7 linked regions of the Canis lupus familiaris genome follow. The protein of the gene in region 5 interacts with the protein of the main gene of each other region in a pairwise test. Links are inferred from orthologs where the notes say so. Each region holds a gene or a part of one and is shown on either strand. Other genes may lie near its edges. The genes, in order: RHOQ, MYOCD, MYLK, CCDC102B, GOPC, DPYD and VTN.

The links.
Region 1: the proteins of GOPC (region 5) and RHOQ interact in a two-hybrid assay, tested with the Homo sapiens proteins (2 studies listed by BioGRID). The link is inferred for Canis lupus familiaris from reciprocal best matches to the Homo sapiens genes GOPC and RHOQ.
Region 2: the proteins of GOPC (region 5) and MYOCD interact in binary tests that used the Homo sapiens proteins (3 or more experiments, as listed by UniProt). The two-hybrid records come from large-scale screens. The link is inferred for Canis lupus familiaris from reciprocal best matches to the Homo sapiens genes GOPC and MYOCD.
Region 3: the proteins of GOPC (region 5) and MYLK interact in binary tests that used the Homo sapiens proteins (3 or more experiments, as listed by UniProt). The two-hybrid records come from large-scale screens. The link is inferred for Canis lupus familiaris from reciprocal best matches to the Homo sapiens genes GOPC and MYLK.
Region 4: the proteins of GOPC (region 5) and CCDC102B interact in binary tests that used the Homo sapiens proteins (3 or more experiments, as listed by UniProt). The two-hybrid records come from large-scale screens. The link is inferred for Canis lupus familiaris from reciprocal best matches to the Homo sapiens genes GOPC and CCDC102B.
Region 6: the proteins of GOPC (region 5) and DPYD interact in a two-hybrid assay, tested with the Homo sapiens proteins (2 studies listed by BioGRID and IntAct). The link is inferred for Canis lupus familiaris from reciprocal best matches to the Homo sapiens genes GOPC and DPYD.
Region 7: the proteins of GOPC (region 5) and VTN interact in binary tests that used the Homo sapiens proteins (3 or more experiments, as listed by UniProt). The two-hybrid records come from large-scale screens. The link is inferred for Canis lupus familiaris from reciprocal best matches to the Homo sapiens genes GOPC and VTN.

The regions. Positions count from the first base shown.
Region 1 is NC_049231.1:49,818,469-49,822,924, reverse strand, and holds the start of RHOQ (rho-related GTP-binding protein RhoQ), read right to left. Parts: upstream 3,058-4,456; 5' UTR 2,988-3,057; coding exon 2,846-2,987; intron 2,367-2,845; coding exon 2,308-2,366; intron 1-2,307. UniProt on the Homo sapiens protein: Plasma membrane-associated small GTPase which cycles between an active GTP-bound and an inactive GDP-bound state. In active state binds to a variety of effector proteins to regulate cellular responses. Involved in epithelial cell polarization processes.
Region 2 is NC_049226.1:36,891,732-36,896,176, reverse strand, and holds the start of MYOCD (myocardin), read right to left. Parts: upstream 2,897-4,445; 5' UTR 2,589-2,896; coding exon 2,534-2,588; intron 47-2,533; exon of another isoform or gene 1-46. UniProt on the Homo sapiens protein: Smooth muscle cells (SM) and cardiac muscle cells-specific transcriptional factor which uses the canonical single or multiple CArG boxes DNA sequence. Acts as a cofactor of serum response factor (SRF) with the potential to modulate SRF-target genes.
Region 3 is NC_049254.1:27,354,378-27,358,178, reverse strand, and holds part of MYLK (myosin light chain kinase, smooth muscle), read left to right. Parts: intron 1-2,383; coding exon 2,384-2,513; intron 2,514-3,801. UniProt on the Homo sapiens protein: Calcium/calmodulin-dependent myosin light chain kinase implicated in smooth muscle contraction via phosphorylation of myosin light chains (MLC). Also regulates actin-myosin interaction through a non-kinase activity.
Region 4 is NC_049222.1:9,362,979-9,367,486, reverse strand, and holds the start of CCDC102B (coiled-coil domain-containing protein 102B), read left to right. Parts: upstream 1-1,447; 5' UTR 1,448-1,455; coding exon 1,456-1,523; intron 1,524-4,508. UniProt on the Homo sapiens protein: During interphase, forms fibers at the proximal ends of centrioles to maintain centrosome cohesion. During mitosis, dissociates from the centrosome following phosphorylation to allow centrosome separation. Contributes to CROCC/rootletin filament formation.
Region 5 is NC_049222.1:58,352,673-58,356,473, forward strand, and holds part of GOPC (Golgi-associated PDZ and coiled-coil motif-containing protein), read right to left. Parts: intron 3,575-3,801; coding exon 3,479-3,574; intron 2,211-3,478; coding exon 2,046-2,210; intron 1-2,045.
Region 6 is NC_049227.1:53,019,843-53,022,431, reverse strand, and holds part of DPYD (dihydropyrimidine dehydrogenase [NADP(+)]), read right to left. Parts: intron 2,314-2,589; coding exon 2,173-2,313; intron 1-2,172.
Region 7 is NC_049230.1:42,589,511-42,593,961, forward strand, and holds VTN (vitronectin), read right to left. Parts: upstream 3,007-4,451; 5' UTR 2,875-3,006; coding exon 2,811-2,874; intron 2,718-2,810; coding exon 2,598-2,717; intron 2,522-2,597; coding exon 2,198-2,521; intron 2,118-2,197; coding exon 1,978-2,117; intron 1,721-1,977; coding exon 1,564-1,720; intron 1,383-1,563; coding exon 1,230-1,382; intron 816-1,229; coding exon 474-815; intron 238-473; coding exon 125-237; 3' UTR 41-124; downstream 1-40. UniProt on the Homo sapiens protein: Vitronectin is a cell adhesion and spreading factor found in serum and tissues. Vitronectin interact with glycosaminoglycans and proteoglycans. Is recognized by certain members of the integrin family and serves as a cell-to-substrate adhesion molecule.

The sequences.
Region 1 (4,456 bases), on a different chromosome or scaffold from region 5:
AAACCCTTAAATGCTGAAAGATGAATTATCACTAACTGATCTAAAAGGAAAAGTTCCAGATCCTAGGACAAACACCAAGGGGCCCTAAAACACATCTTGGCCAATAGAGTAGGTGTCACATCATTGGGTAACTGAACCTTACTAATAGTTTGATACCGTTTGGTATGTGTCTTCCCATCTCCACTGGACACAGCAATCACAATAACTTATGGGAAGCCCTGGTTTTGTGCGTGGGTCCAGCTTCGGGTGATGATTTGGATCTGGGTTCTTTCCACTGTAGTGGTAGTGCATGACTGTCACTCAGAGAATGGCTGTCCAGATTCCAGGTACCCAGGTCTACAGACCCACAGGGTTCTGGATTAATCAACCCAAGTGGCATCTCAGCCTTTCCAGTGGCTTCCTGTGTGTATAATCACCTCAAACCAGAGCAAATTCAGACCCATGTCCATGTCCCAGCAACACCTGTCCTTGGCTATGTGACCTGAGGTCAGCTACCTAGCCTCTCTGAGCCCCAGTTTCCCCATCTGCAAAGACAGTATCACTTTGCTCATGGGGTTGCTTCTTGGAGAAAATAGTATTTGCATGTGGCTGCCCCATGCCTGACATGCAGAAGGAACTTGGTAAGTATTAGTTGGATTTGAATGCGCACAGAATAGGTCTGACATATACACATCCTGTTGAATAGGCTCGTGGTCAAATGAATGGTCATGGTAACAAGTTAAAGGAGAAAGGGGAAGAGGCGGTAGTGAGAGACGTTAAAATTAGAGGCGGTGTTTAAAAACTTCTCTCCTTTTCAATCCCAAACTTCAACCTGTCATTTATCAAGTGTACTGTTCAAAAGTCGGGTCTTATTTAATTGACTGGGTTCTGCCTTTTGCCCTCCACACGTTCTGATAGAATAAAGTAACAGCTACAGGGCAGGCACCCAAAAGGGGCCCTGGCAAGCTAAGAACTTGTACTGACTTGGGTTGGTTTGGAGAAAGGGGACAGCCCCTGCCACCTGGCCCTGCCAACAGTTTCTCTATCCTCAGATGCTCCTCTAACTTAACAGTTTAGAAGCCAGAAGCCACATCCAGACACCGTCTGTAAGACATTCTTCAATTCAACCTGGTACCACAACTCTGAACTCCAAATCTAGAAAAGCTGCAAAGAATAGTTCCCTTCTATTGAGCATCTCCCTGGGTGCGCCAGATTCAGTGCTAAGCGTCTGGCATATAATATGTGAACAGAGAACTTTCTGAAGCCCATTTTATAGATAAGGAAACTGTACTCCTGGAGATCCCCCAAGGCACTCTCTAAAGCCCTCAGCTGTTCACACGTCCTCAAGGACTCAAGTCTGCATGACACGTGAAAAACTTCTGCCCAAGGTTTCACGTCTAATCACAGGGCTGGATTCTGCAAAACTTCATTATACGTAATCATCCCAGCCCCACAGCAAAAGTGAGCCTGGGAAGAGAGACAGAGAGGAAGGAGACTTTAATCCTTTAGAACCAACCTCCGATTTGCTAATGGTCAGAGGCTGCCAGGAGGACTGTGCCGTTTTCTTTCTGCACAATAATCTCTCTCAAAGAAAACCCAGACAAAGTCACCTGGCCTTCCCAGAGAAGGGTGGGGGCGGGGGGGGGGGGGAGGGGGCTCTTCCTCCAAGATTCATACTCCTAACCCTTCCTCCTCCTCCCTACCCCAGGGAGTGGCTGGATGGTTGTTGTTTCTTTTCTTTTCTTTTCTTTTTTTTTTTTTTTTCCCCTGTGGTCCTCTGGTAACACCACAAATTACGTTTGCAGGGACTCGAGTCCCAGAGTGCAATGATGTTGTAATAAACATAACCAGGACCAAATGCCTTCCCATCATATTAGATGATGCCATTTTGCACCAATCAGGCTCCTCAGGCAGGCAGACCACTCACCAATGAGGGACCAGACAGAGGCTGTGAGGGGGAGACCTGGTCATCTGCAACTAAAAATAAGGGCGCTTCATGATTGGCCGCTGCCACTTTGCAACAGGAGTTGGGACCCACACACCAGGCACCACACAGAAAGCACACACAGGCAAAAACTTTCACAGCCCAGGGGTTCACATGGGGTGGGCTGGGCTGGGTTTGTTGTCGGCTTGTGTGTGTGTGTGTGTGTGTGTGTGTGTGTGTGTTTTCCTTTTCCTAATTTGCTGACTTGAGAAAAGAAATAAAGACTTGATCCAGAGGGGCCCCTCGAAGACACACCCTCCCTCCGAGACACCTCAGGGTGCATTTGCCGCCAGCCTGAATTGAGGAGAGGCAAGGGGGTGTGGGCCAGGGGCCAAGACACTCACCTGTCCGGCCGTGTCATAGAGTCCCAGGAGGTACTGCTTGCCCCCTACGGTGACGCTGACTGCAAGGACAGAAGCGGGGGCGGGGAGAGAAGCTCGGATTATCTAGGGTCTGGGGCCCTCCGGCTCCCCATCAGGACGGCTCTGTCGGTCCTTCCGGAGGCGTGCGGCGCTCCCGGGAGGTGTCACCCCTCCTCCCCAGCGTCGGGCTCCCTGCCGAGTGGCGGGGGGCCGGGCTGTGCTGTGGCCCCAGCTGCCCACCCGTGGCCACGGCTCGCCGGTGCCCCGAGCGTCCCCCCAGGGGGCGTGGGCCGTCGGGAGGAGGCCGTGGGAAGGTCAAGGAGGTCGTCCCAGGGCGCCCGGCGCTCGGGAGGCGCGGGGGGCCGGGAGCGGGCGCCCCGAGGCCCGGGGGTGGGGCCGGGAGGCGGCGCGGGGCCGGGCGGGGGGAGCGCGCCCGGGGGAGGCGGCGAGGGGGCTCCGCCAAAGTTGCTCCAAAGTTCCCGGCCGGGGAGCGGCCCCTTAGTCAGCAGTTCAGCCTTACCTGCGTAGTGGTCGAAGACGGTGGGCACGTACTCCTCCGGGAAGGCGTCGTTGGCATAGCTCATGAGTAGGCACGTCTTGCCCACCGCCCCGTCGCCGACCACCACGCACTTGAGCATCAGCGCGCCGGGCCCGTGAGCCATGCTGCGGCCGGCCGGCCTCCGGGCATGGTCCCCCCGGAGCCCCCGCCCCGGCCCCGGGCTCAGCCCCAGCCCGCCTGGGGGGTCCGCCGCCGCCGCCGCCGCCGCTCCGCGCAGCACGGCCGCCCCCCCGGCCCCATGCAGCGGCGGCCCCCGCCGAGCGGAGGGGGCGGCGGGCCCGGGGCGCTGCCGCCGCCTCGGCCGCTGCCCGGATCCCCGCCCGGGCCCCGCTCGCCGCGCCCGCCCGCTGCCCCCGCCGCCCCCGCCGCCCCCGCCGCCCGCCGCCCGCCGCCCGCGCGCTCCCCGGCCCGGCCTCCCCCGGAGGATCCGCTGGATCATAAGACCGGCCGGCCCCGGGGGAGACGGCAACTTTGGGGAGGGCGGCGGAGGGGAGGGGCCAGGCGGCTCTCCCCGCCCCGCGCGCGCCCGGGCCCCTCCCGGCTGCGCCCCGGAGGAGGGCGGGCCCCGGCGCCTCCCCGAGCGCCTCCCCGAGCGCCTCCCCGAGCGCCGCCCGCCCGGCCCCCGCGCCCCGCCCGGCCCCCGCGCCCCGCGCCCCGCCCGCCGCCGCCGCCGCCGCCGCCGCCGCCGCCGCCCGGCCTGGCCGCTCACCCTAGCTTGACTCCCCGCGCGGGGCGGGGGCGGGGGCGGGGGGCGGAGCCGCGGGCGGGGGAGGGGCGGGGGCGGGGCCCGGAGCCCGGGAGGAGCCCAGGGCTCGTCGCGCAAGTGCCCGCAGCGCCCGGAAGCGTCCAGAGGCCCCGGTGCTTGGAAGAAGCCGAGGAGGCCTCTCGGGGTACCACGACCACTTCGACGATGACGCAATAGTCGTGCAAAATTATGCAAATATATTTAAACTGCACCCGGAAGGCAGGATCCATCCTATCGGGCCCTAAGTGCACAAGGGAACTAGAAATCGGGGTGGGAGAAAGGGTTAAAAAAAAATTTTTTTTTTTTTTAAGGCGCGTGGGGCGGTGGGGGAGGTGGCGGTGGTCCCACAGCTCCTCGCCTGGTTCCCCATCACCGCACGGAGCCTGAATCATCTACTTTGAAACCGGTGACTAAGGGAGTTACGGCGTCTTGAACCTCCGAAGCAACCCCCAGCCAGCCAGCAAAGGGAGACCCCACGGGCTCCGGATGCGGCAAATATCCCGTGCCTCGCACCGTTCTCTGAGGTCCCCTTGCGGCCCAGACTGTCCTTCGAAGGTGTTAGGCTGTGATCTCAGAGGAGTGACACTCTTGCTCTGAGATTCGGCATGTGATGGGTGGGGGGGGGGGCAGCCGCTGCCCCTGCCGCTGCCCCTGCCCCTGCCTGGGCCAAGCTTGGCCAGGTCCCGTTCGCCAGCCTCTAGTGATGCTTTGATCCTTAGGCATGGGTGGGGGAGTGGGTACACACCACAAAGACACCACGCCCCTCCCCCTTCTCCTCCCCACCCCACCCACCCCCACATGTGAGAAATGGCTTGTTTTCATTGATT
Region 2 (4,445 bases), on a different chromosome or scaffold from region 5:
GAAATCTATCCAAGGTCAAGTTTATACAGCTCGAAAGTAGAGGCACCTGCAAAAAAAAAAAAAAAAAAAAAAAAAATCCAATCCTGAGCTTGGCTCAGGATTCACACACTCAACCATGTAACCCCACAACAGCCTCTCAAATAAGAGGAGTTTATAACGTTAAATATATTAACACATGTAAAATTTCCCACTTTGCTGCTCCTGTAGCAGGATTTTATCCTTAATACCAAGGTCACTCGAGCACGGTTTACAGAAAGCCGGTTGGACGTCGCTGCCATACACACCAATTTCAGAATCAAAATGGTCATCTGCTCACTTTTAAAAAGGCCCTACAGTATGGGGTGCCTTGCTGAGATCAGAGAACAACTTACTTGCATTTATTTTTGAAATAATTTGCCTTGCTGTGGCTTAGTCCCATTTATTTTTTGAAATAATTTTAATTAAATAAGTAACACCAGGGTTTATCATCAAAGCAAACACTGGCAGGAGAGTTTAGTGAATTTACATTATGAGTAGCTCACGAAAGAAAAGAAAAAAGCCAGGAACACAAATCAAAACAGAAGAGGCTTCCCTGCCCACGGTTAGCCACAAAATAAATGGAGTTTGCTTGGGAAGAGGCAGGCCCTCTTGCTAGCAAGCAGGCCGTCTAGCCAAGGTCTGAGGTGGTGCAGCTAGACTTGCAATTATATCCAGGAAGAATCATCGAGGTCTGCAACACTGCATTACTTAGCCGCACATGCTGCTCGCTTTTCTGCTTGTGCAGATTATCAACCCCTTGCATCTCCAATGACCAAAGCACTTTGTCCACCTCCAGACCCCAGTTTGGCCGATTATCAAAAGGTGGAGGGTTAAGCATGTTCCTATCTGCATGGATATCTCATGTTTTCCTGAAGCTACTCTTCCTGTGACACAAAAGCCTGTCCAAGCTCAGGAAAAAAAAAAAAAGAAAAAGAAAAAAGAGAAAGCAAGTTGGCAACTGGACTTCTCTGAAGCTCCAGGGTGTCTACCTAGGAGACACCAGGACTCCACTGACCCACAGACAGGAATTAGGAACAGGGAAAACACGGTCTTCCTTTTCCTCTGCACTTTCCCCCCCAAGGCAGGATGCCTTGATTAGTTCCATAAGTCGGTTTTGCGATTTTACTATCAAGTACTTCAAATCCTTTTAGAGGCAAACCAGCCCCTCCCCTACCCAAAAAAACTGCCAAGGGTGCAACTGAAATGAGCAGTGGCTTTCCGCAAAACAAATCCGTATCCTCTCTTCCTCAGAAAGGTGGCAGTGTTGCCTTGCGGTTTTGACCAAATTACAAAGCGGCAGAGTCTCTAGCTCATTAAGAGATGACCAACCAGCCACAGAAGCTCCAGAAGGGTCATCTCCCTGCAACAGCGTAGAGCCTTAGGAAACCTCCAGTGGACCCCACGGACATCTAAAAGCCAGAAGCGCCCAAGGAGGTCGCAGACCACCCTCACTCTCCACACCCATGCTTCTCATTTTTGAAACATGAATCTCAGGTGAAAGTAACACCGAGTGGTCCCATTTACAAGAGCTTTGAGAACATCCTAAACGAGGCCCGCATCCTGCTAACACCTGTTACAGGGAGTGTTCGGGTAGGAATGTAATCCACCTTCTGGGTAGAAATTTTGCCATTTATTGAGTGGTTTGCCACCACTTTTATAAAACCAGTATTACACACTGTGCTACTGAGATCAAGAGCTTAAGGCGGCGAGTGTCTCCCTGTCTAAATGGGGAGACCCACACGCTGGTACCTTCTGTGGGCGCCTAAACCAACCCTTGGTGGGGAGCCGCTGCACTTCCCGGCTGTCCCTTCCACTCACCTTCACCCGGCGACCTCTCTGAGAAGTTTCTCTGTGCGCCACTAACACAGAAATTTGGGGGGAAATTCTCCATTTATAAATATCAGATGGTTTGGGAAAAAATATTTGTGGCACTGGACTTTTTTTTTTTCTACAGTGATGTCATCCTAAATACTTGGTGTGCTCCAAATTTGCTATTTTTACTTCCCCCAAGTGACTTTTTTGGGAAATACATTTGTTTGGATTAGCTACATTTTAAGTGACCCTGTATCTATTAATACACAGCATCAGGTTCATCTTCTCAGCGGTTACAACTGATATTATGTAGCTCTCAAACTCGAAATCCCTTATTTGTTCATTTTCAAAGTTGGCCCTTTCAGAGGTACCCTTCCAAAATTTCTATTCACAGATATGGGGTGCGGGTGGGGGATGAAATAAAAGAATTTGCCTTTTCACAAATCAACCAAACAACAACAACAACAACAAATCGCATCCGGCAACTCAAAGCATCGACCACGGAAGACATCAAAGTCCCCCACCCCCTCCTCCTCCCAACCCCAAAGTCAAATAAAAGTCTTCACTTTCGAAAATGTGCTCTGGGAGGACCAAGTGGCAGGAGCCAAGCGCCGGCTCCGAGACGCTGGTTGGAAAGCAGTCCAGGGTGGCGAGGTGCGGAGGAGGAAAGTCAGCAAGGATTTGCTAAGTGCCTTAGCCCTACCTGATCTGAATTTGCTCCTAATCAGCAAAGAGTGCTGAGACCCCAGGAGTGTCATGTTGAGGCTCAGCGAGCCGCTGGTCCCTTGGCCAGACGCCCCCTGTCTTCCACCGGGATCGGGCTCCCGGGAGCCCCGCTGAGCGCAGCTAACGACCCAGAACTCATCCAGCTCTCCGGGAGCGCCCGGGGCAGGAGGACCGAGGACCCCGCGTCCCCGCAGAGCCGGCGGCTCCCCCCTCGCTGCGCGGGGCTAACTGACTCCCAGCGGGCGGGACCCTCCTCCTGCTCCGAGGCCGCCCGGCCGCGGCGGCATCCCAGGCGTGCCCGGCTGATGTCATAGGCTGCCAGCGAGCGCCGAGGATCGCCACCGCGCCTTTATGAAGGGCCCAAGTTTGCCATCTGATACTTTTTTACTACTGACAGCAGCTCAGCCAATCAGGGGCGGCGAGCGGGGCCCGGGCCGCCGGGGGAGCGGCGGGAGCGGGGTCCCCGCGGGTGGGCGGCGCGGGGGGGGGGCGCGGGGTGGGTGCGAGGCCCCCCACCGCATCCCGGCGGGCAGGACGGGAGCGCGCGGGGGAGCGCGAGGGGCGCGGGGGGCGCGCGGGGTGGGTGAGAGCCCCGCATCCCGGCGGGCAGGACGGACGCGAGCGCGGGGAGCGAGGGGTGCGCGGGGAGGGAGGCGGGTGGATGCCAGGCCCCCCACCCTATGCCGGCGGGCAGGAAGGGAGGGCGCGGGGGAAGCGCGGGGGGCGCAGGGGGCGCCGGGGGCGCGCGGGATGGGTGAGAGCCCCCCACCCCATCCCGGCGGGCAGGACGGGCGCGCGCGGGGAGCGTGGGGGGCGCGGGGGGTGGGTGCGAGGCCCCCCCATCCCGGCGGGCAGGACGGGCGCGCGCGCGCCTCGGGGCGCGTGGAAGCGAGCGGGGCTCCGGGCGCGGCGCGCTCCCAACTTCTCCCCGCGTTCCCGGGCCTCGGGGCGCAGGCAGAGGCCAGCGGGCCGCGGAGCCGCTGAGAAGCCAGCCTTGCGTTTTCCCGGGATGCGCACTTTCCGGGATGAACCCGACTCTGTGGACGCGCAGATCCAGCCCGCGACGCGAGGCCCTCCCTCTTGGGTGGTGGGAAAGACACATTAGGGAACGGACGCCCTGTGCCCCCCACCATCCCGTAGGGTCTTGGGAGCAGGGGATGTCAGGGCTGGGGTCGGGCTGTGCTTGCAAAGGCTCTAGGCTTTTCCTACGCATGAATCCCTCCTTGGAGGGGGTGGGATGGGGTGAGGTGGGGGTAATCGGAACCCCAACTGAATTATTGGACATCTAGGATGTGCCAGCGGTTATAAGCTTTGCCTGCTCTGAAGGGGCTCCAAATTAGCAAAGAAGGCTCCTGGGGAGTTAAAATGAAGACTCTAGTTTCAAGAAGCTTGCTCAGTAGGTGGTAGCAGCAAAAACAAAACCCAAACTGTGTACCTACGTGATGTTGGGTTGAATTTACTTGCAACCTTCTATGCGCCTGGGCCCCAGGTCTCCTGGATCACATACATGACTGCTTAGGTCTCAGGAGAACGCAACCCTTGAAAGGTCAGTGGGTGACAGGTGAAGACCCGATAGGACAATAGCTCCTAGGACAGATTCCAGCACCCTGAGTTCAGACCTCTGCCAGAATTCTCTGAGCCTCGCCCTCACGCTTTGGATCTGACCAGTGATTTGTGTACAGAAGGCTTTCTGAGTTAGGCCATTCAGTTCCTGCCTCAGAAGGGAGGCAGAGCTGGCCGCCTGGGGGGCTCAGTGGTTGAGCATCTGCCTTTGGCTCAGGGCATGACCCCGGGGTCCTGGGATCGAGTCTCACATCAGGCTCCCTGCAGGGAGTCTGCTTCTCCCTCTGTCTGTGTCTCTGCCTCTCTGAGTCTCTCATGAGTAAATA
Region 3 (3,801 bases), on a different chromosome or scaffold from region 5:
GTAACCAACTGGCCCCAGTGTGCCAGGGGCCATCCCAGCTTTATACTCAAAAGAGACTCATCCTGGGAAACCCCTCAGTCCAGGCAACCCAGGCTGGTTAGTCACGCTCGCTGGCTCTCCCAAGGGAGGGAGCCTGTGTGGCCTTAGGGAGGCCAGTACAAACACTGCCCGCCTGGAGCCCAGGGACCCAGCCTTGGCAATTGTCCTCACACAAGGAAAAGACTTTCTCAAAATAAGGATGGAACTTAGCGAATTGAAACTTCCTTTCTTGATGTTCCAAAGATTTCTAAGTGTCTTTGTAGAGCAGCAACCAGTTTTTAGCTCAAAGGCATGAAACTGGAAGTCTAGAACATACAGACAGATTTCTTTTCCAGTTCTGACAACTTCTCCACTGTGTTTTTTTTTTTCTCATAAATCAGTTCCCAAAGATTGAATCTGATGTAGGTTATTTTTAAGATTGTCCTTATTAAGCACATTTTACTTTTCCCCATTTTAGAAAGTATATGCTGTAAGACTACGTCTGATAGAAAATTCACCCCTCTTTGTAGCCTATTTGTTTGCTAATGTGTATTGGCTCCCTTCTCTGGAATATTCTAATTCATTTATTGCCTTGTTCTGGCAACTTCATACTCGTCATTTTGTTAAAAGAAGAGGAAAGACTTCCTTATTCCACACCGCACAAGTGAAGACAGTCCTGATCGGTCACGACCCAGGCGTTTGGAATTGGGGAACCCATGGGCTCGGGGGGAGTGTTCCCTGCTGCACCGTCACGTGTGTGCGTGACAGGCTTTCTGTAGGGAGAGTCAGATCTTCTGGTTCAAGAACTTGAGGTGCACAGGAGGGAACTGGTTTGCCTAGTGACGTCCCTTTGTTCAGAATGAACTGAGGTGAGAGGCTCCTGGCCCAGGCCAACCGGTCTCGTTGGGTAAAGAGAATGGAGCGCCAGAAGGGCTGGGTCCGAGAGTCTGGCTCTGCGGGGGCACGGCCTGGTCTGAGGTCCACGCCACAGGGAGGGCTGCCGAGGCTGGCACCCAGACACACGGCTGAGGTCTCCGGGAGCGGCCCGTCCCAGCACAGCGTGCGCGGCTGCCGGCGCCCGGCCTGCGGGTACGCTCTCTGCAGGGCCACGGTGCCTCTCCCCGCGCCAGTCACCTCCACCCGGGGCTGCCTGGGTTCTGTTCAGTGACGCGGCTTCAGCCTGGCGACCGAGGGCCGGGAACGTGACCACAGCTCAGTGATACGGGCCGAAGGGCGCGTGGCCGGAGGGGCACATGGCCGGAGGGGCACGTCCGTCCGGAGCGCACGAAGAGTCCACAGCAGGGGGGGGGGACATGGCACAGAGGAGTGGCTGCGGCCACCACGGTTCTCTGCGTGAAGCGCGTGCACACGCTATGAGTCCTTAGTGCCCGTGATGGAAACAGCCCGGCTCCCGGAGAGCCCCAGGTCGGGGGGCTCTACCCGTCGGGCGCTCCGGGCCACGGCACCTGGACACCCCGGGCGCCCCGGACGCCGACACACGCGGTTCCCGGGCCGCTGCACTGACGTGCGAAGGGGCCGAAACCTCCGGGCCTGTGGGACCTGAGGGCGAAGGGGCAACCCGGGCCCGGTGCTGTGGCCCGGGCCACGTCCTGGTCTGCGGCCCACGCCTGGCAGAGTCTTCACCTCCGGTTCTGGCCTCCTCATCGGAGAGCGGCAGCCCTGTCCTCCCCGAGGCCTCTCCCCTCCGAAAAGCCAAGCAGCCGCCGCTCCGCATGTCCTCGGGCCTCGCTTTCGAGGCCTGGGCGGGCCCGGGCAAGAGGCTGCCCCGAAGGCCCGTGCATCCCGCACTCGGGCCGTCAGAGCCGTTCTCGAAGGCCCTCAAGTGTGGAATCATGAACAGAGCTAATGAGACCGTGGAGGTCACCTCGGGCAGCCCCCCTTACACGGAGAAGGAAAGTGAAGCGGGGGGTGGGGGTAGGGGACTTGCCCCAAGTCCGTAGGAAGCCTTTTCTGGGTCCTGCGCTAACTCCCGCTCGGTCCCTATCAGCAGCATTGTTTTACGAGAAACAGCCCCCGGGCCCGTCAGCAGGGAGTCTCTGGAGCTGTCTCAGCCCGCAGTTGCTTTATATAAACTATCCCTTTTATGGGAGTTGAAGCGCAGTATGAAAGGGTTTTTGTCTCATGTTGACCTTGTTTAGTCACATTAACGCACACATCGCTCCGGGCCCCATTCCATCGGCGCACATCCCCGGACACGCGGAGCGCGCGGGCAGAGCAGGGCTGGGCGCTCCTCGCGGCACCTCGGCTCGCGGGGCCTCGCTCCGGGCCCAGTGCGCTCCCGCCGCGCCCTTCTCCCCCGACCCGACCCCGACCCCGACCCCAACCCCCGCTGCCTATTTTCCAGAAAACGGGCAATGCTGTGAGAGCCATCGGAAGACTGTCCTCTATGGCAATGATCTCAGGGCTCAGTGGCAGGAAATCCTCAACAGGATCACCGACCAGCCCGCTCAACGCAGAAAAACTAGAATCTGAAGGTAAGGAGCTCCAGAAGATTCTTGTCTAGCCAGTCGGCGAGAAAGGAGGGGTTACGGAAGGGACATGTGGAGGCTTTGGGGAGTTTCTTTTTTTCCTTTTTCTTCTTTCTTTCTTTCTTTCTTTCTTTCTTTCTTTCTTTCTTTCTTTCTTTCTTTCCTTTTTTCTTTCTTTTTTTTCTTCTTTCTTTCTTTTTTTTTTTTTAATAATATAAACGACAAGGGTTAAATTCAGAATGAATTTTAGGTTGCCTCCTGACAACAATTATTACAGTCTACTGGTTCCTCTTTAACGGTCCAACCTTAACTGTTTTCAGAGGGAAAGTTATTTAACAGAAACAGCTGACCTCGGCTGTTCTTTTCTCCATATTTCACATAAGAATCAGCAAAGACTTCATTAAAAGCTTCCTTTTCTCTCATTACAAAAGTGCTCTTGGTATTTGGATAGGCAAACATAAAAATCACAGAGAGCACTATCTTTTTTAAAAAATATCCGTCCATATTCTTTGTGTTTTTCTTTAAAAAAAATGAACTGCAGTCCCTATTGATTTGGGCATTTTTCATGATGGTGCAGCGGGTCGTTTGAATGGGGTGGAGCGTGCGGAAAGGGCTCCTCCGCAGACCGGTAGGGTCAGCCGCTTGCGCCGTCTCGACATGCTGCCCTGGCCAGCTCCTCAGTGAAGGCCTTGGCCTCGTCCTGCTCCAGGTGCATGTGGGTTCTGGCCCTGGTCTTCCGGAGGCACTTCATGTGGCCAGAGACCCCCCCCCCCCACCTCCCGCTGCTTGGTGTTTTCCGTGTCCCAAGGTGGAGAAGCAGGGGCCAGACTCCTCTTGTGCCTAAAGGCAGGCTGCGTGTCCCCCGGGCTGCTCTGATGGGGCCAGGGGCACAGTCTGCGACACGTGGGCCTGCTCCCTCCTGATCCGTGCTCCCCAGGTGACCCTGAAGGGAAGGCAGAGGGCACAGGGTCCCCTCCAAGTACAGCTTATCCCCGGACCAATCATAAATCCCTGGTCCGTGGTCATACACTGTGAAGGCGGCGTAAGCATGGGGACCAGAACTCCCGGCAAGTCGAAGACATGCCTAGGACCCAGGCCCTCCTTCCTGAGGAGCAGGTAAAGAGCCTGCCACTGCAGGAGGAGGGCAAAGTGGGGACAGAGACCGGGAAGGCCGGAGTGCTCTGTCCTCCTTGGATATCCTCCACTGAATCCTGAAACAGCATGGAATGCAGCCAAAAATCCTTTTTAAAGATTATTTCCTTTTTCAATGTGTCAGCATAAGGGAAGGGGGGAG
Region 4 (4,508 bases), about 49 Mb from region 5:
TGATGTTCCGAAATGTAAATGATTTCTCTAAAGCCACAGATATAGTACGTTCTGGAGCTAGGTTTCCAAATAATGTCTTTCTGGCTCCAAAGCTTTTCCACTCTGCTCCACTGGTATTTTAGGAATGTGAGTCTGGCAGAAGTTGAGCAGAATGGTTTGGGATGGCGTTGGGGTAATAGCGTGCAGGGAAGAGACAGTGAGACGACATCCGTAAATCCAAGCTAATCACAATTCTCTCAGGTGGTCCACTCTTACTTTAGGGAATAGACAGAAGAAATTGATACTGAAAATAAGCAGTTTTTATACTTAAATTGGCGATTCTCATATTCAACACTTAGGCTTTCCTCTCTTTTATTTTCTTGAACATTGTATTCAAAGAAGATGTCTTTTGATTTCTCAGAGGAAGTTTAATCACTGATTTTCATCAAATATCACATATTCATAAGAGAAACGCATGTGGTTATTGGAAATGATATTGGGAACACACTGGCGTTCTTTTGTTTGTTTATGATGAGTGATATGAATGGAAAGACCCCATGATTATCATGTAAGTTTTATTTGAATGGGTGAAGAGCATATATAAAATTTATGTTGCTAATAGACAATGCAGAGTACAGTACATCAGTAGTAAAAAGAATAAGCCCCATTTAACATTTTTCCTCGTATATCTAAACTTTAAATATATTTAACTTTTCTCTAAATAGAATATTTTATAAATATATATTATAACTATATATATATAATAGTGTCTGTGCTCTCATTTTAGAAATGTACGATCTACTGTTTTAGAAGTTTATTGTCATTTAAATAGGCTTTACTGGAGTAATGCCTTTTTGCCATATGCCCAAACAGCTGAAGATAGTTGTAATGTAAAGATTCATTCCTTTAAATATATCATTAAGAAAACAATAAGTATACTTGTCAGCTCAAATACTTTCATCACTGACCTTAGGTTAGGACATTTCATTTTAATTAAACAGATCTAGGCTGTTTTCCAAGATTCTATTTTATAGAGAGTCTTTTACATGTTCAATACCTGGTCCTCAGTGTTTGGTCCTCAATGCCCTGATCAACTGTTGATGCACAATTGTTATCAAGTATTATAAAATAGAAAACTGGTTATCTTATAGGAGGAAAGCAGCCTATCAAAGAGAAGATGGGTTGTGCTCAATACCATTCTATTAAGGTCATAGCTTTGCAGATTACTAATATTTTTATATATTTAAATACCTGAGTGACTTGCATATGATGATATTTACTATGAGTTGCTGTTATATGTAGAAAAGATAAAAGAATATTTGCTGTTAAAAACTGATAGAAGGACTTTTTTTGGTAGCTGAATACAGAAGTACCCTTTTGAATAAAAAACATATTCATTGCAGAGCTTTTAAATGGTATCCTATAATCCTTGTCTTTAATTTGTAGAATTAAAGCCCTCTTCCCCCCAAAAAATAGATGTGCTGGAGTACTACCATATCAGAGGCAGACCCACCAGAGCAGAATGAAGAGCACCATTCAGAGAGGTAGGAGGAGACCCATGAAAGAGGAGTCTTTCAGAAGCTAAGTAAATGAGTCATTGCTGAAAGATGAAATGGCCAAGTTATATAAAATGCTACTGAGTGGTCAAGGAAAATAGGAGTTAACTGTTAATTAGATTTTGCAATACAGAAGTTATTGATTTTCTGTTTTTGCAGAGATCTAGGCTTAAAAACTGGTAGAGTGAGTTCAAGAGAGAGTGAGATGAGTGAAAATATCTTCTAATGGTTTTTACTATAAAAAATATCAGAGAAATGTGATGGTCCCTGGATGGAGATCAAGATGATTTTTGTTTTTCAGGTTGAAGATATTATAGCATGTCCCCTTTGCCGATAAGAATGACTTAGGAGGGAGATTTAATTTTATTAGAAAGGAGAGAGAGAACTCTATTTGTAGGAGTTAAGTCTTTAAGTCAGCTAGTGGGGATTCAGATGGAACCTGCAAATGGAAAGTTTGACTTTAGGGGCAAGGATGATGTAGAAAGAGGCTGAGATCAGGGTTACCACAAGGCTGATAAGTGTGGTAGAGCCAGAGAATGGTAGTTGTCTTTTGATAACTTTTTTTTTTTTTAAAGTGAAACAGAGGGAAAAAAAGAATAACTTCATCAAGAAAGATGGAAGAGTTAAGGAAGAAGATGGGTGGAGTTTTGGAGAATGGGAAAGTGAAATGATAAGGGAAATGGAGTAGGGTTGGCTGTGCAGTGCTAAGGGCTGATGTGATATTCAGAATCAAGAATTGAAGTGAGACCTGAAAGTAAACCATGTTTTCTCTAAGTATTAGCAGATGCTCAGGTAGGTGCCTATGTGGAACAGGCAGATAGTTGAATGCCAACCAGAATTGGAGTTTTCTAGGCAATAAGGTTAAGAGAATGCCAATCTAGCTGAGCATAAATTGTTAATTAATGGGGCTTGGAAAAGGGAAGGAGTATCAATATGAAGTAGGTAATAAATGGTTAAAAGATAATGGGATCAGTTAATAGGAGGTCCAAGTTAGGTCAAAGAAGAGAATTTTGTGGACCACAGAAGGTAATCAAAAGGGTGCTTAACATGGAAATGGAAGAAATGCTGTATGGTAATAGTATCTAGGGTATATACCAGCCAGTGGGTGCATGAGGTAGAACTATTGGAATTGATAGGAACGGAAAGATGAGAATATTGTAAGGATACTGCATGTGAAAATATTTTGGACATGAAATTAAGTTTAGTTCCATTACAACCAATTAGTACCACCCTTGGTTTTACTAGATACATTTTATTTCTTATTAGTAAATGTCTTTGAATTTACTTAAATGGGAAAACAGTCCTGTTATAAAAATACATGGAAAAACATGGTGTTTTATATGTGGATTATATTATGGTAAGAAGATAAATATCCACAAGTGGACACTAATTTTAGTACCCATTCCCATGCTGAGACTAATTTTGTTCATAATTTCCTCCACTTACCTTCTTATTTTTTTAATGCATCCATCGCCTCATATAGTTACCTATTTATTTATTTTTTTTAACTTTTTAAAAAATTTTATTTATTTATGATAGTGAGAGAGAGAGAGAGAGAGAGAGGCAGAGACATAGGCAGAGGGAGAAGCAGGCTCCATGCACCGGGAGCCCGACGTGGGATTCGATTCCGGGTCTCCAGGATCGCGCCCTGGGCCAAAGGCAGGTGCCAAACTGCTGCACCACCCAGGGATCCCCTATAGTTACCTATTTAAAAATGTTTAACTGAAGTGTAGTTGACATATAATATTAAACTAGTTTCAGGTATACAACGTAGTGATTCAGCGATTCTATACCTAATGAAATGCTCACCAGGATAAGTGTATTATGATATTATTGACTGTATCCCCTCTGCTGTCCTCTATTTTTAATGATGTTTTGCTTGGTCTTACAGACTGTATTAGAGAAGGATCTTCAGGGAACAATAAGATATAGACATAGAATTTTTCACATCTAACGAATTGTAAGCCCATAATTTTTCTCGATGTTCATTATATTGCCAAAGTTTTGGATAAAGATTAAATTATATTTGCAAATGATGGTCAGAAACCATGAACTACCTTTATTTTAATATTTAATTTTTTTTTTCTAAAAGCCAGGCTGTCTAAATAGCTTAAAATAAATGGGATTTCTTTTAAACTTCTCAGATGAGAACGTGGAACAGTCATATCCAGTGTTTTGAATCATGGCCATTTTATTTTGATGTGACTATTGTAGCATCTCCTCTTCTACATTATGTGACCATGTGGCAGAGAATGAAAATGTTCTGTTCATTTATATTTGAATGATAGCTATGATGCTGATGTGTATTTACATTATCAATAGAATGCATTTTCAAACATATATTTGAAAATAATATTATTAGCAATCATCTTAGTTTGATGCATAAGTGAGAAGCCTCTGTAAGACAGAGATAGAAATTTTGTGAGAACACACTGAACATAAGTTTGAAAATTCAAAACAAAGTTTTCTATTTCTGGAAAATTCTCTATGAAAAAGAAAAATCCTTAAATTTTTGGGTTGCTCTAGAGTAGAGCTATGCAACAGAAGTAGTGTTCAAGCAACCTTTACAATCTGAAGTTACATTTAAAAAATAAATGTGGGGCACCTCAGTGGTTTAGCACCACCTTCAGCCCAGGGCCATGCTGGAGACCCGGGATCGAGTCCCATGTCAGGCTCCCTGAATAGAGCCTGCTTTCCCTCTGTGTCTCTGCCTCTCTCTCTCTCTCTCTCTCTGTCTCTTATGAATAAATAAAATGTTTAAAAATAAATAAAATAAAAATTTAAAAATGTGACATAGATTTTAATAACATATTGTACTTAACCCAATATCTTTAAAATATTACCATTCTAAAATGTAACCAATATAAAATTAATGAAATAGTCTACATTTTTATTTTCCACACTGTGCCTAATTTAGACTTAGAGTACATCTCAGTTCGGACTGCCTTCATTTCAGTGGTTTTCTAGCACCAT
Region 5 (3,801 bases):
TAATTCAAGAAACCTCTACACAATGATTTGTTTCTTACTGAATAGGTCTTGAACCTTTATGTAACTTTCACTGAGTACTACAGTGTTAATAAGTAATTATTTTATTAATTGTGTAAAACTGTATCATTCAATCCTCAAAATTTCTCTATTGCAGTGCAGTATCTTTTACATGAGGCAGAAACCTGAATTATTCTGCAAAGAGCAGATAATTTTCCCAATATGATGAGCATGTAAAATAGAAAAACATTACTCCAAAGCCCTTGGCCTTTCTACTAAACAAAATGTGTAATATTTGGGGGCTGCTGGCTGGCTCAGTCAGAAGAGCAGATGACGATTGATCTCAGGTTGTGAGTTCAAGCCCCATGTTGAGGACAGAGATTACTTAAAAAATAAACTTAAAAAAATATTTAAAATAAATAAATGAATATTTGTACTGCTATTCTTTTTTTTCTTTAAGATTTACTTATTTATTTTAAAGAGAGAGAAAAAATGCAAGCCAGGGGGAGGTGCAGAGGGAGAGGCAGAGAGAGAGACTCTCACGCAGACTCCCTGCTGAGTGTGGAGCCCAACATGGGGCTCGATCTCACAAACCTAAGATCATGACCTAAGCTGAAACCAAGAGTCAGACACTTAACTGACTGAGCCACCAAGACGCCTGCCTCATACTGCTACTCTTTAATAAAACTTATGTTCAAGCAAAAAAGATTATTTTATGTTTAAAAAAACATTCCAAGTCATTTAATGAGACTACAATCACTACACACAAGCCTGGCATTTGCAACTCTGATTTTTTTTACTGCCACTAAGTCAGTCTGTTGGTACTATGCATTCTCGGCAGTTTAAGGTTATGTTTCAGAATTTTAATAGATGCTTAGCATTTCTTTAAAAGCATGTGACTGAAAAACAAAAACAAAACAAAACCAAAACAAAACAAAACAAAAAGCGTGTGACTGCCCCTTTGTATTTCCTTTACCACAGCTGCCATTCATCTCACTCTTATAACGACTGGATGTGGCCAAGTTGGGTTGAGAAAACACTAACTGAAAGAGGTTAGGGTTACATTTTTCAATCTCTCTTAGCAGATAATACTTTAAACATCCCATTTTGGGGAGACAGAGGGATAATGCTGTGGTATTCAGTAAAGTTCTAGATTAAAGAATTAGGTCTGTGGGCAGAAGTCATGGATCCAGCTTTTAGGCTTAATATGAGGAAGACCTTTCTAAAAAAACCGCAATGTACAACTATAGAATGGACTACTTTATCATCAACAAGTCCCCCCTTAACATAAATATTTAATCAGTGATACTGTAGAGATTTACGCAACGTATGTAGTTGAACCAAACGAGCTATAAATTCACTTTCAACTCAGATTCAATTCTACACTGATGATCCAAACACATCTCAATATACTATCAACATTTCTCTTAATTTCTTCAACCTTACTCTTGAAGAAAAAAACAAATCAAAAAGTCCACCTTAAGTAAACAAACAGGAGTTGGGGGTATGAATCCCAACTCTACTAATTTCTCTGCAACCTTGAGTGAATTATTTAATCCCTAAGAACCTCAGGTTACTAATTTTAAGTAAGAGGGTTGGGCTAAATGATTTCTAAGGACTCTTTCATCAGTTCTAACATTTATCACTAAAACCAATCTGCTCCTAGCATTGTTTTTTCTATAATACCATCTACTTGTATAGTGTTTTAGTCATTACTGATGTTTTGCTTTCTGAGTACCAGGTCCTGTTCTGAGCACTTTATATGAATTAACATGCGTAATCCTTGCAGCTCTCAGATAAGGGCACTGTAGCAGAGCAGAGGACTTAAGTAACTTGCTCAAAGTTATAGAGCTGTGGAAAAAGGCAAATAAGACCTTTTTCAGTAAATCTGGACAAATGTCTTCTATAAAAGGCCCAAATCAAAGGGAACTGGTATCTACATATAAACACTTTACTACTTGAGAAGCCTCAAGTTGAAGTATAACATTCAGTAGATTCAAAAAGAATCAACCAATAGATCCAATTTTAATTACATAAAAGGAACTTACCTGCTGGGAAAGAATGGTTACAGCTTCTTTATGCTTTGTGTCCCTTAGGTTAACTCCATTAACAGCCAGAATAGCATCTCCAACATGTAGTCCTCCGCATCGATCAGCAGGTTGCCCTGGGTGGATCTCAGAAATGAGGATTGGAACACCATGTTCTTTCCCACCCTAACAAAAAAAAAAAAAAAAAAAAAAAAGGCAGTCAATTAGTTTACTCTTTGTACAGTCACAGACTATTCTAATAATAAAATATCTTCTTAAAAATACATTTCAGTATCTTCTATGAACACTGAGTAAAATATTATTTGCTATCTAGGTAATGGTAAATACATTCTTATGGGTATCAAAGAGTTATCTCTGAATAAAACAATAACATACATTTCTAAAACACATTCCAAAGCCAAAAAAAAAAAAAAAAAAAAAAAAAAAAACCAACCCCAAAACAAAAAACTACAATTGGTTAAGCTTTAAACAAAAAGTATTTTACATATTACATATTAATAGTCCACAGCACTATTAGATTTTATCAGATCAGAATCACTATAAATAACAAGGCCTACCATTATTTTATGTACTATAAAAATCATTTTAAGAGTATAAGAGGAATCTCAATTTCAGATATTAAAATGTGAAAAAATATGCAACATGGAATTGATGAAATTTGGTAACTTTCACTTTTTAGCTCATGTTATAATTATTTGTGTGTGTGATATATGTGTATTATTTCTCCTAAAATTTATGCTTTTTGAGGGACAGTGCATTCACAAAGGTAGGTAGGTAGGTATTCAATAAATACCTACCAGGTAAACTTATGATAAAAGAAATTTCCATATTAGGCAGTACCAAAATGCTAGTGAACTCACGCAGTATCTAAGTATTACCAAATGAAAGAGTAAAGCCATCTTATTCATTCATCTGGAACAAAAGCACTATAAGGACAACAAAACGACTCCAAATATATGTACTTATAATAGGCTGCTCTCGGAAATGCTGCCCAAGACAACTGTTTGTAAAGGCATCAAATTTAGAAAGGAAGACTATTTGGACTCAAGGGCCACTGAAAACTGACAACAAAGAAATGAGACAAGAGAAAAGAACAATACAATCTGGAGCCATTTAATGTAGAAGAAAACAGTCATATCCATTCTCAAAGGCTCCTAGTGGCAATCATAGGATATTCCACAGAACTACAAACCAAGTCATAATGAAAATGCTAAATTATGCTTAATAAAGTTATAATTTTACTAAAGTAATACTTCATAGTCATCAGGAAGATTTACATACAAAAAGTTTACACAGAAGTGTTGGAGCCCAGGGGAATAAATTTAGTTATGGAGGGGATATATCCAGAATACTTGTTTCCCAAGGATGTCCAAAGGGGAGCATGATTATACTAGTTAACTACAAAAGAGGAGACTGGAAGCACTACTTCTTACTGTAATTGAAATGCCAAGGCCTTCATGATCTTCCTTAAGGAGGAGAACTTTTCTAATTGGACCAACACCCTGGCTTTTCTTTAGAGTGTCTTGATCCTTATTGGAAGAAAAAAAAGAAGAAAAATTAGTATTACTTAAACGATATATCATCAAATGGAGTAAACCCATGCTATATAACTTGCTTTTAGAAATCTTCATTAATTTCCTGGAATGGATATACAGTAAAGTGTTAAGAAAATAATAGATAAAATAGAAAAATAAAAAGTTGTTCTGTTAATATAGTGAAATGGATGGATGACCTTCTTTTTCAGGTTCTTTCATAT
Region 6 (2,589 bases), on a different chromosome or scaffold from region 5:
ATTGCTGTCACTGACCAAAAAGGTCAAGAACGCCCCCATTTTAGTAAGAACATTTTCCTCCACTGCAGTGGAGCTGCACTTGGAGACGACACCCAGCCCTGCGGTGCAGCTATAGCAACAGTTGAGCTGCTGGAGGGGAGGAAAAGAAAGAAAACAAACCAGAAAAGAAATCCTTTTAAATTAGAAATACATTGTTTAAAATTCCTTAGAGCTGTTTTTCTCGGAAAATATTTTGTGACAGTGACTCTCTCATTTCCTTTGTTCTAGCAAAGCGCAGACCCTTCCAGTTCTATCAGGATGGGCTGTGGGCTCCCGGAGGACCCTGGGGTGCTTTCTCCCCTCACACTCCTTGTTCTCAACAGTGAAACAGTGTCACCGGCAGATGGGGGCCATGAATGTATTTGCTTGGATTTCAAATTAAGCATGTAGTTTTAAGAAGAAAACAGTAGTTAAAAAAAAAAAAAAGTTGGCATTAGTGCCAGTATTGAGGTTTGAGGATTTTCAATTAAATAATTCTTTGATTCTGATCAAGGATCAGGATATGACCCTGTGTCATATAAAATGCGGTGTAATCCAATTCAAAGCAACTTTTTTGTTGTTGTTAAAAAAGTTTCCCTCCCCCAGGCGAAGCTACTTGTAACTATAATTCTTTCCTCTTTTATGCACATAAATGTGAAAATGGTTTTATTAAATTATGTCAGACTGCTTAATATAAAAAACCAGTCTGATCCTCAAGGAAACAACCATATTCTATCAGAACAAGAACTGTAGATAAGACAAACCAGAAGAAACTTTGTCCACATAAATCGTTGCCATTTTAAAAAAGAAAACAACATCTTGGATGGCTGTTTGAATGAGTAAAAATTATTTATCTTCCTTATGTACCCTTTTATAAATAGAACCCCAAGAAGCAATTGAAAATAAAATGATTGTATCTTAAAAATCTTATCCTTTAAAAATTTGCAGACATATGAAACTTTATAATCAGTTGAAGATTTTGATTTTCTATTTTTTATCTTTTTGAGAGAGAAGAGTCAAAGGAGGACTTTTAAAATCTTTTTAAATGCATAATTGTGATTCTTTTTCCCTCATTAATAAGGGTTTGTTTGTTTACTGATGTGCCAAGGTTAGAATTCTAAGGTAGGAGTCATAACTTCTAAGATTTGAGGTATTAGAGCCCTGCCACTATGATTTTTGTGACAGGACTTCTTGACTCACCTCTAAATGGTTAAAGGGAAGGTGAACGTGAGTGTGATGGGATTAGCATTTCCAAAATAACTGTTAGAGACACCTTTCAGCTACCAAAAAAAGTGACACATTGGGTAAAAATTTGGTATAGAACAAATGTCAAATTAAAGAGGAAGAGATTTTTAAAAAATTAAAATGTCTGTTATATCTCTATTAGGCAGTCAGAGGAATATGCAAAATCCTGCCACAAGCAACACGGGAACTTCGTCCAGGCTGAATAAGTTAAATGAACTTCAATTTTTTAAAAACAGGGCATTTTATCTACCTTGAAAATTCCATTAGTCATCTTAAAAGGTATTATTTTACTCTATTTCGTCACAGCTTGAAAAGTTTAATAGTTATTTTTTTTGGTATTGTCCCCTGGCAGCCTCCCAGCTTAGGGGTGAGGAACTGGCTCACTTCATGTGGTAAGACTACAACTTGCTGGCTTCTCTAGTCACAAAGGAATTCCGGGTCCCCACATTTCATTTCCCCGGTAAGAAGGTGCTTTTTCTAGTAGAAGCCCAGTCAATATTGAATGGAAGAGAATTCTCTTTTGGTGGAAAGAATTAAGGCCTTCCAGGGTAATGGCAATACGTGGTAGTTCTTTTCCCTCTCTGTAGCAAAGCGTAATGCTTCCTAATGTACATAATTGTGTGGATTTCTTTTTTTGGTTGGATCTTTCCCAGCCAGTTTTATGGGTGATAAAATTATATTAAAATGACACTGTTCACTGGATAGTGGCATAGGTAGTAGAAGTGATGGCTTTCCTTTAAAAAAAATTCCTAGGCTCAGAGAGTGAGAGGACAGACACGCCGCTGCTGAGGGGTAATACTGGGCATGTCTGGTCTGCATTGCACACTTAGCAACAACACAAGATGCTTTCTGCTACACAAGCCAGAAGAAACACGCCTCACAGCATCCCAATTACAGCAGAATCCTTACCTGGTAGCCAGAGTCATTACAGGTCATGTAGCATTTGCCACAGTTGATACACATTTCTTCATCAATCATGGCCACAACTTGTTCTAGGTTGCTCAGTTCACCAAATGCTCCAAGGTACTGCAGCGCTTTTCCAATTACATCCTAAAACATAGGCACCGAATTACTGACAGTGTGCATTGTAAAAACAGTACCGTGCAATAAATAGTATCAGCCCAGATTTCTCTGATTTTTATAAAATGTTGTATTATGTAACTTAGGAGGCTTCCAGGAGTGTAGTTCCCATAGCTCTACGTTTCATAATTGTAGAGTACATTTTTTTTTGTCCTTCTAAAAGATGGGCAAAGTATGTGTGTGTGTATACATATATATCTCCAGCTTAGAAACACAAGACCTAATTGACTGCATTCCATTGGTTTT
Region 7 (4,451 bases), on a different chromosome or scaffold from region 5:
CTCCTGCCTGTCCATCCCAGTCAGGACAGTAGCCTTAAACTCAGGGGCATAGAATCTTTATTGGGCTGGGAGAAAGAGGTTGAGGAGGAAGCAGTGGAGGGATCAGCTGTGTAGGCTCAGATTCCTACTGGGGGCTGGGGGCTGAGCAGCCTAGCCAGTACTGGGCGATGGAGCGTGGGTAAGGAGGGCTCACAGTGTCCACTCGCCGTGTGCGAAGGTTGACTCGGTAGTACTTGTCTGGAAGAGAGGTCAGGAGAGAGTGTGTGAGGGCCAGCCTGGCCCTGCCCATTCCTGCCCTAAGAAAGAAGACCCAGGTCTCTCCTGGAAGGGTAGATGAACATCCAAAATGCAGCTAAGGGCTCACATCCTGGCTTTCTGGAGTCACCACCCAAGGGCCATGTTCAGCCCATGAGGATCAGGGACAGGAGGGAAGACCAGCTAGACCAGCTACAGGGGATGGCAGAGGCTCCCACCTTCTGAGAAGAAGTAAACACTTTGGATGGGCTCACAGGTGGCCGGCACAAGCCAGTCCATGTTGTAGTCATCATAGTTGTAGGTGTCTAGGCCACTCTCCTCACTGGAGAACCAGGACAGCCAGGCTGAGCGGGATTGCCGCTGGGAGGTCCGGCTACGGCCTCGGCCACGGTTACGGCGTGAACGGTAGCGTTTACGGTTGCGCCGCTTAGGATTCAGCTTCTTGACCCAGGATCGGGGTGCCGACCCTGAGATGTAGATGCGGCCAGCCATGGCCGCGTCCACCTGCCTAGGCAAACCAGGCCAGTCCTGGCTGATGAACCCGGGCTCTCCAGCACCACCTGTGGCAGAGAATGGGTTAATGAGTCTTGGGAACATGTAGAGTTCATCTGGTGCCCAATGATGGGCTGTGCCTTGCCGAAGGACACAGCAAGCTCATGGCAGAGCACAGTGCCCAGGCCCTCTGACTCCCTCTTTGGTGCTCTTTCTCCTGGCCCTCCTTCACCTCATCCCTCCCCACTTGGCCTCAGCCACAGCCCCTCCTCCTGCTAGCTGTGCCCTTGGCTGTGCTAGGCAAAGTCCGAGGTGTGGGATTGGGTGGACCTCCCCCCAAAAGTCAACAGAAACAAAGTCTGGCCTGAGTAAACAGCTTTTGATCTGTAGCTCTGCAATCACAGCCCCCTCTGGCCAGCTGTGCCCTGCCCCTACCTGGGGGATCCCAGTGGGAGAAAGTGAGATTTGCCCTCCTTCCATACCAGAGGGTCTGTTCCAGAAGAGAAGCTCAAAGAAGGTCTCCCAGCTGTCCCTCTGCAGCAGGGCAAAGTGTTCAAACACGGTGGACAGGGAGCTGCCCTCACACTCCTCCTGACTGGGCTGCTGCTGGAACTCATACTCCCAGTACTGTCTCCCTGAGCGGGGAAGTGGGATGGGGGAAGGCATGTGAGCAAGGCTGGAAAGGCAGCCCCAACCTGCTGAAGATAGGAGTTCCTGGCAGGGGGTGAGCACAATTCCACTCTGCCCCTCCAGAAGTGTGCAGGCAAACCTAGACGGCCCCACTGCCTGCCTTTCTCCCACCCACTCCCTTCATACCCTTGAAGAAGTAGACCCGCTCCCGGCCACTGTAGCTGCGAGCAGGGAGAGCAAAGGCTGCGTCCACGTTGTCCGGAATGCCCTTGAAGCCTTCAGAGATGTTGCGGGGGTAATCTGGGTCCAGAACACCATCCTCGAAGCGCCAGTACTGACTACCCTAAGGGGCAGGGAAGGAGGAGGGAGTGCGGAGGTGGCTGGCTGGGCACAGGCAGAGTGCCCCACCCAAGGCAGCAGTCCCAATTCTAGGCTTGTCACCGGGGACCCAGAGCCTCGGGCTTCCCCATCCTCAAGAGGCCCAGCCAGGGCCCACAGGCCAGGATCCAGCCTTCTTGCCCACCCTAGTCCTGGGCACAGCAGCCCTCAACCCCTGCCTAGATACCCGTGACCCTGACCCACATCCCCTGGCCCTGGTACCTTGAAGAGATAGGTCTTCCCCTGACAGTTGATGCGGGTGAAGGCTGCATCAATGGGGCCCTCAATGCCCCAGACATCTCGGATAAGCTTGGGGTACCCAGGTCTCACTGCCTTTTCATCCAGCTCATAACAGTACTGCCCTAGAGTGCAGGAGGCTGTGTGAGGGAGGGGATGTTCCGGGGGCAGACCCTGACCCACCAAGACTTGCCCCTGGAATCACCTCGGAAGGCAAAGAGGGAGCCATTCTTGAGGTCAGTGAAGGCGTCAAAGGGTTTCCCACTACATAGCTCCTCCTCTGCTGCGGACTCAGAGATGTCTTGATCAGGGGCCTCAAGCACTAAGGTCCCCTGCCCGGGTCCTGGAGCCTCTTCCTCAGGGATCAGAATAGGTACCTGGGCAGGAAACTTTTCAGACTGGGCCTGTAGGCCAGGGCTCAGGGTGGTACTCTCCAGCTGTGTGAGGACGCTCTGTTCTCTGGTCCCCTCATGATCGTCAATGACCCCATACTCATCTTCTGGCAGAGCGAATACATCCCCACGAGTCACTGCAGGCAGAGTGGGTGGTGGTGAGTCTCCAGCTGCAGAGGGGACCCCAGGCCCACCCAACCCTTCTGGACGCACCTTGGGGTTTGCACTCGGCCACGTAGTCCTCGCAGCAGCTCTGGTAGTAAGAGCAGAGCTCGTCACACTGACACTTCCTGTCAGCATTGAAGCCCTCTGTGCAGCGGCCCTTGCATGATTCTGTGGGGAGGAGGTGTCAGTTGGCATGGCCAAGCCCAGACCACCATTGCCCACCCTTCACTGGCCCAAATAGTCACCAGCGCCCTCTTGTACCTTGGTCAGCCAGAACAACCCATGCCAGCAGGGCTAGCACCAGCAGGGGCCTGGGGAATGCCATGGTAGGGCTGCTAGCTTCTAGCCCTGAACTGGGCTCTATGCGGTCTCCACTGCGATGCCTGAGGAAGGGAGGGAAGAGGTGTGGACAGGGAGGGAGGGAACCAGAAAGAGGAGCTGCCTTGTCTGCTGCTCTGTTTGCTCAATCTCTGGCCCAGCCCCCAGTACCCTGGACCCCAGAGGTTGCTGCTGCACTACAAAGGGTCACATTCCTGGAACTCTGGGCCTGGGAGAACTGTGAACAGGATCCTTGCCAAGCTCAATCTCATCCCAGGAGGGGAATAGCACAGCGGGTCTGAAGGACAGAAGGAAGGGCCACTGTGCCACTCACAGGCTGTGTGACCATGGGCACACTGCTTTACCTGCCTTGGCTTTCTTTTTGGTAAGGAGAGATTAATACCTGCCTTGTGTCCTGTTTTTGGGGGTGGGGGTGTTTACACAAGCTAAAGCAGACAAAATGCCTGGTGCCTGGAATAGCGCCAACTTCATTCTCCATAAATGGTTATTTGTCTGTGATCTGTTTGATCAGGTGCATCCCTGACTGAGTGTCTCACCCACCCATTGTGTATTTAGGGTGGTAAAAGGGGGGGTGAAGGAATGCTGGTGAGCACTCTGGGGGATTTTTATTTTTAATCATAAAAAAAACAGATTTTCATGTTTAGGTTCTACTCTTGGGTGCATTGTTTTTCCCAAGCTGGGCCTCACAGAGCAGCAAATTGGATGAATGGTAACCGTTTGGACTGGATTTGATTCCTTGGTCTCTCACTAATTCACTGCTCCTTGGCAGGCACTGCTCCCTGTCTCCACTTTCACTCTCCCTGTGGTAAAGAACAGCCTCCTTCTCCACACTTTTAGACTCTTGAAGATAAGCATCCCTCTTTCCAGAAAATACCCCTGGCACAGAAGGCCTGATTCTGCACCCACTGTCAAGGGTCCATGGGCCTCCTGAAATCCTGCCACCACCTGGAAGAAAATGATTCTCAGAGTTTCCAACTGAGTCTTTCTGTTCCATAATCAGAGAAGGGTGTGTGACTTTGGGCTACGTCTTTTCTAGGAGCTTTAGTCAGTTCAGCTGTTAAATGGGAACACAAATACCGACCCTGTAGGCCTGTCATAAGGCTTGAGAAAGAGGCATAAAGGGTCTGGAGAGTTGTACCGCATCGTTATTAGGATCACTTTAACTAACCACTGTTAGGGGAGGGGGCCCGCTCCACTGTGTTGCCTTCACGTTGCAGTGTCACGGGGTTTGGGGGTGGCAGGGGAAGGAGGCGGTCGTCGGCTCGGCACCCTCTCCCCCGAGTGGCCTCCCCCTCCCTTCCGCTCTCCGTCCCCTCCCCTCCCCTCCCCTCCCTCCCTCCCTCTCCCCCATCCCCTAAGCAGGGCGTGGGCGTGGCTGAGGACAGGCCTGGGGGCGAGGCGGGGCGGGGCGGGGGGTCCCACGTGACCGAGAGGCGGGGTGTCAGCTCCCCTGCGGCTTCTCAGGGGCGGGGCTGCTGCAGATCCACACTGGGCCGGAGCCCGGCTTTGTTCTTCTCACAGGCGTCTGGGTCCATCCCTCGCAGCCCCCTCGCTCCTCCGCCC